Canis lupus familiaris: one gene and its partner. The protein of the gene in region 1 interacts with the protein of each later gene in a pairwise test. Links are inferred from orthologs where the notes say so. Each region holds a gene or a part of one and is shown on either strand. Other genes may lie near its edges.

Region 1 (3,100 bases):
GCCTCCCTTTTCCTGCACTGGGTAAATGTTACAGGTTAATGCAAGGGCTTTCAGATCCTTTCTGCTGGTACCTTTGCCCTTGAAATCACAAGAAAATGAACTTAGGGATGAATTAACACTGAGGCATGGGGTTGAGTTCAGTGGGAAGAGCACAGGACTCTTGATCCTAGGGTTGTGACTTTAAGCCCCATGTTGGGCATACAGGTTTTAAAAAAGTAAGGAATATTTACTAGTCATTGTTATGCATATCTATTAGTCACAACCAAGAGAGGCAGAATTTGTCCTACCAACTAGACAAGTTCATAATAATCACTCCCTCTATAGATAGCCTGCATCACAGAAAAAAAAAAAAAAAAAAAAAAAACCCTCCACAGCCACAAACCACATCCCTTAACAACCAGCTCACTGCTGAGGAAAGTAAACCCCAGGTGTACTCACTATTAGTAGCAGGTCAGCTGCACCCTTTTCAGACACAAAGAAGAGTTCCTGAATGAAACAGGCTTGAGCAGAGAACATGCTTTATTGAGGAGTAGATATAGAACAGCACATTCTACCACATGTGGGGAAGGGTTAGCTTCGGTAAAAGACCTTTACCCCTTAAGAAAACCCCCAGTGAAGTTGCTTTTGGATAAACTTTAACAGTGACACTGAAACTGGCAGGGAGCTGCCACTGAACATGCTTAAAATTAGCTCCCCCCAACCCACAGGGAGTATAAGTAGTGTACACAGATGACAAGAGAAAGGCACAAATGACCAGAGTCGGGATTGTGGGAAGGGCTCCACACGAAGACAGCAGTGTTGGAGGAGACCAAGTTGGGAAGGGTGGCATGTCATACATCAAAAGCTGCCCCAAGATAGCAGGTTATAATGGGCTGGAGAGAAATTAGAGGGAGCATTTCTTCCTTTGCTTGAAACCAAAAATAGAGCAGAGAACAGGGGGAATGGTGGCAAATCCCAAAAAGGAAATGGAGGAGGAGTTCTTGGAAGGGCAGGAGCACTTCAGTTCAAGAGGGAGGGCGAGGCACTGTCAGAGAAGCAAACACTGGGAGGGGGTGGCACTCTGCCTTGCTGAGTCATGGGCTTAGAGGAGATCTGGAAGTCATGTGCACTCATTTCCTACTTCTCCAAGGAGGTTTAGGCAAAAAAAAAAAAAAAAAAAAAAAAATCAATGCAAAAATACAGGTGTGCCAGATGAGACTGGCAGGTACAGTGGGGGGCGGGGGGTAGGTTCTGCAGTCTGATGAACTGGTTAGCATGCAGCATGAAAGGGAGAACCGGACACTGTTTAGCCCCTGCCAATGTAAAAAGGAGCAAGGGCTTACGAGAGAGGAAAACATTTAGGGCTGGGCACTTTCTGGTGAGGCAATGAGGACTGGTTTCCTTCCACTGACACACGATGCCCACAGGTGAACTCAAATCAAATTACAGAATCACCACCTGTCAATTCTCTCCATTTCATTCTGATTAAGTTATGTGCAGTTACCAAGACGAATCCATGGGAGAGTTTTAAAAAATATTGGTCTCTTGTCAGCTTGACACGGATCAAAAACCGGCCTTTCAATAAAAATGGCAGAAAAAATTTCAAGTGAGATAAAATCCAAAGGGAATGGACCCCTCCTAGTACACACACTCAGAAATGTTACCTCTTCCCTGCTCTTCCAAAAAAACCGCATGTAAGGAGTAATTGGAAAGGTCCTGGTGGTGGCAACCATGGTTTGAAGTCTGGTATCCGGGCAGCAAGAAGCACTAGTACAAAGTTTAGAAGACACAACACAACCTCATGGGGCTAGAGGACATGAGGAGAACCAGTGACTGGACAGGTACAGTACCAAACAGAACACCTTGGGTCAGTGCTACGAGGGATCTGCACTCAAGTCTAAACAGCGATCCCATCCAGGCAACCTCACTGAGGCCGAAACAACAGTTCCTCAGAACCAGCGTCTGCAGTGTACACGAGGGTCGGAGCCAGGACAGTCCTGAGGGGGATGGCCTTCCCAAAGGATACTGTACTTGCCAATCACAAGAGCAACAGAAATGACAGACAGATCCCTAGGGTACGGATTCCTACTGCTGGGGTTCGCTGGCTCAGAGTAACAGGTCACTTTAAGTGCCCTTGGGAGGGGTCCATTTTAAACAGCTTGGATCCATGGTTTTATTGGAGTTAGATCTTTTGGCCTCTTTGGCTATCCACTCATCAATCAGGTCCTGCGGGAGAACAATAGGAAAAATGACTATACACATTCAATGAAAATACCTTTATATATGGATTCCAAAATGCTTGTTAGTGAAGAAGGAATCAAAGGTTTAATAATATACTAAGGTGTGAAGCAGGTATTAAAACTTCTCTTTTGATTTAGAAAATGCTTTCCCCTACAATCCATTTCTTCTGTGTTCCTCAGAAAGAAGTGAAAATCATTATTCACCTTCCCTTAAACATGAGTCCACTTAAACAAGTTGAATTTGGGCATTGGTTGAGATGACATTTGTTAAAGGAATTTCAAACACCTCCACCACAAGGGGCACCTGGGCAGCTCTGTAGGTTGGGCACCTGACTCTTGGTTTCAGCTCAGGTGGTGACCTTAATATCTCATGAGACCAAGCCCTGAGTTAGGTTGAATGCTCAGTAAGGAGTCTGCAAGATTCTCTCGCTACCTGCCCTGACCCCTGCTTGCCCTAAAGAAATATCTCTAAAAAAAAAAAATTTTTAAAAATGTGCACTTCCACAAGCTCTGGAGTTAATGAGGACTCCTCTTTAACAGATGGGCAATTTGCTCCAATCTAAGAAAACCATAAATGACAGAAGTACTGTGTGACACAAATCTGCTTAACTGAGCTCCTTCACTTGTGCCATCCAAATTTGAGACAGCTTACTAAAAGCTTCTGATAAGATAGGAGATAAGCCTAACAGGCATCGATGCACAGCATACCAAAAAAAAAAAAAAAAAAAAGAAAAGAAAAGAAAAAGGGAACGAGACCCAGTAAAAGATACATGTAGGCAAACTCCTTTAAGGAGTAAAGGCTATTGGGAAGCCCGGGTGGCTCAGTAGTTTAGCACTGCCTTCGGGCCCAGGGTGTGATCCTGGAGACCCGGGATCGAGTT
Region 2 (3,518 bases), on another chromosome or scaffold:
CATTGGCCGGCACCGAGTATTTAATCTTCCTCCACCTCACCCCTGGCCCCCCACGGCCCCCCACGGCCCTTTGTGGAAGAGGAATGCATTGCTGGCAGAGAGCCGGCCCTTGGGGGTTCCCATGCACAATCTATTACGCTGAGCCCTCAAGGTTGGAGCTCTTTGGGAATCAGCACTCCCAGTCTTCGCCAGAACACAAATTACTCAGAGATACACCCCAGAGGCTCCCTGCAAGATGTCAGGCCCCCAGATTCCCTAAAAGAGGCCACATGCTCATGACCCCTGAATTCTGTTCCCCGACAACACCAGACACATAAACTGTGAAGACAGGGGAACAAGTGTGGTGCTTTATGACGAGGCACTACGGGCCTTAGTTCTTCAACCTTTTTATTTTAACTCTGCCCTTTTCCTGGAGGCTCTGTTACCTACTATTACATGATAATAACATGGGGTTTCAACAAATGAGTTAGGCATAAATAGAGAGCAAAAGTTCTGACAGCTCACGAGACAGAGGATGTGGGTGACCCCACTGACAATGTCAGGTGTCCTTGCAGCTCATTTTGCGAGGAGCTCGTGGAGACCCAAGTGCCTGAGCACCCCCAGAGCACCAGGTGTTCCCAGCACCATGCCCAGCGGTCAGCTTAGGATGCGAATTCAGACATAGCTCAGGTGTTCTCTATGTGGGTCTGGGGCTGGGCAAGTGAAGGGAGATGACACAGCCCTTAACAATTTGCTATGAAAAAAATCAACAGAGTGAGGGCCGTGTGGCCGAGAGAAGTCACGATAAGCACTTCAAGAAAGAAAGCAGCCCCTGCTGCCCTGTAACCTGGAGCTGCGGCCTGGTTCTGGCCGAGCAGACCCAGGTGAACGGGCGCCGGTGGGAGAGCTCCAGCTGGAGCACGGACGGCACGGCCGTCATCATCCACACAGCCCTTCTACCAAAACTCCCAGGCAGCAGACAGACCCCTCCTTCTGTGAAGTGACTGGTGGAACCTCTGTGGTCAGATGGGGGAATGGTGGGAGACAAAGGTGAAGGGCAAGGGCCCTGGAAAGGGAGATCAGTGATGACATAAAGCCCGGGGCACCTTCTGGTGCCACAGCCCAAGGTCTTCTGGACAACAGCCATCCCAGGTACAGGTCCCTAGCTCTGCTACTCCCTGGGCTAGGAGTCCGTAGTCTTGACAAGAGTCCCACCTCCTCCAGGGACAAAGGGAGGTTAACAATCATCTCCCTTTGGCCAGGCTATCCACCTCATCTGGGAATGTGATACCATCCAGTGTGCTGGCCCTACGCCAACACGTCCAACTGAGGACAGTCAGGACTGCCGCTGTCGGAAGTCATGAGACTCCACTAAAGATGCTGTGGGGGTCCCCTTAAGGGACTGAGCAAGTTGGACTCAGCACACAGAAAGCCTCACTTGGTTCCCATGTTGGCTCTCTTAGGTAAAAACTTTATTCTTTTTTAAAAAAAAGACTTTATTTTATTTTATCTGAGAGAGAGAGAGAGGGATGCCTGGGTGGGTCAGCGGTTGAGCGTCTGTCTTCGGCTCAGGGTGTGATCCCGGGGTCCTGGGATGGAATTCTGCATCGGGTTCCCTGCAGGGAGCCTGCTTCTTCCTCTGCTGGTGTCTCTGCCTCTCTCTCTCTGTGTCTCTCATGAATAAATAAAATCTTTTAAAAAAACAAGAGAGAGAGAGAGAGAGAACAGGGGAGGGGCAATGGGAGAGGGAGAGAAACTCAAGCAGACTCTGTGCTAAGGGCAGAGCCCAACGCAGGGCTCAATCTCATGATCCTGAGATCATGGCCTGAACCGAAATCAAGAGTCTTAATCGAGTGAGCCACCAAGGTGTCCCCCCCCTTTTTCCTGTTTTATTAAGTAAACAGGTTTAGGACAATATGGGAGCTCTAAGAGGCTGACTCTGCCATGATATATGGTCAGTAGAGGCGGTTAGGTGGCTGGGAGCCACACAGTCCCAGTGGCCCCCTGACAGGCCCCCCACCAGCAGTGAGCATGGAGCTGCATGGGGAGCCGCATGCAGCATGTGAACCTGCATAGTGCTCACCCTACACAACTGCCAGGAGAGGTGGCTACCAGCCAAACCCACCCTGTCCTGGAAGGACCATGGAAACCTGAAAGACAGCTGTGTCATCTGGACCCCACCCTCCAATTCTGGTCTCTAAAAGCAGCCAATAACACTTACACAGAGGGTATTGGGGCCTGCTGGAGTTTGTCCTGAACCTCAGAGGCTGAAGAACTGAGGAGCGTGAAGCCCCGGTCTTTCTCAAGTAATTCCTTCAGCGTCAGTTCTGTGCACAGTGGGGTGGAGTGGGCCCTCCAGGGTGCCCCAGCCCCTTTCACACTATGCAGGCAGTAAATACCAGCTTTGTCTGCAAGAGCCCACATGAGGCCTCTGTGAGCATCAGGAGTCCCTGACACATTTTAGACATTTGTCCTCCCTCTCTGACCTGTCACAGACCCAAGACCAGACCTGATGATCTGAGCGAGGCTGGGAGACCACCGCCCTGCTCACTCACAGCCCTCCCTTCCCTAGATGACTACATCTGACCCATGCTGAACGCTCACCCTAGGGAATCTCTGGATCCTCTCCTGCGACCCAAGACCCACTAGGACATGCCTCTCCTGAGGTCACTACAAGGTCATCCTAACCTTCCCATTCTACCCAAATGGCAGAACCTCACCCTCTTGTACCTCCCTTGGGGCTCTGGGTATTATCCCTGACTTGGGGTTACAGGCCATTCTCCCATGGGTGGTGGGCTGAAGGGCATGTGATCCTTTGGAAGCCTGACATGCCATGCCTAGGCCAGGGGGGAAGCTTGGGCTGTGAGGGCAGACAGACCCCCATGGCCACCGGCCTCTGGTCCCCCAGAGTGGGAGCGCACAATCTGTCACCTCCCAGGACTGGGCTCCTACCTGCTGGGCCGTGTCCAGGGAGCAGCTGTTCCTCTGGCTGTGCATGGGGCCGGCCATGCCAACTTGAGGGCAGCTGTGCCCGCAGGCCTTCCAGTGCAGCCAGCAGCTCGTCGTTGCGGTCCTGCAGGTCCTGCAGAGTAGAGCCAGACACCCCTGCAGCCACTGCGGCCACCTGAGGAGCCATGGGGAGCAGAGCAGTGGAGCCAACCCCCCAAGTGGGCAGCCAGGTGTCAGGTCCTGCCTTCCAGCATACCACACTCAACCTGCATTCTAGTTTCCTAATGACCCATGAACCAAACCAAAGCAATGCTCTTGACTTGCTAATGCCCTGTGCCACTTTCAACCACCCGATATACGGAAGGGGCGGTCTCTCTCTCTCTCTCTCTCTTTCTCCCCCCTCTCTCACACACACACACATGCACACAGAGTGGAGTAGAAACTGAGAAGAAACATAGAGAATACAGAGAACCATCAACATCTGAAACCCCAGGTGCTCTGTGTAAGAGCACAGTGGTGCTGTGCCGTGGGTGTGATGCAGCAAGTCTTGGGATGTGTCCCGGGATTCTGTCCTCTGCACAGGGTTTTTT

What was found.
Region 2: the proteins of KAT7 (region 1) and NINL interact in a two-hybrid assay, tested with the Homo sapiens proteins (2 studies listed by BioGRID and IntAct). The two-hybrid records come from large-scale screens. The link is inferred for Canis lupus familiaris from reciprocal best matches to the Homo sapiens genes KAT7 and NINL.

What each region holds. Positions count from the first base shown.
Region 1 is NC_049230.1:25,823,744-25,826,843, reverse strand, and holds the end of KAT7 (histone acetyltransferase KAT7), read right to left. Parts: intron 2,206-3,100; coding exon 2,104-2,205; 3' UTR 502-2,103; downstream 1-501. UniProt on the Homo sapiens protein: Catalytic subunit of histone acetyltransferase HBO1 complexes, which specifically mediate acetylation of histone H3 at 'Lys-14' (H3K14ac), thereby regulating various processes, such as gene transcription, protein ubiquitination, immune regulation, stem cell pluripotent and self-renewal maintenance and embryonic development.
Region 2 is NC_049244.1:1,804,559-1,808,076, forward strand, and holds part of NINL (ninein-like protein), read right to left. Parts: intron 3,062-3,518; coding exon 2,932-3,061; intron 1-2,931. UniProt on the Homo sapiens protein: Involved in the microtubule organization in interphase cells. Overexpression induces the fragmentation of the Golgi, and causes lysosomes to disperse toward the cell periphery; it also interferes with mitotic spindle assembly.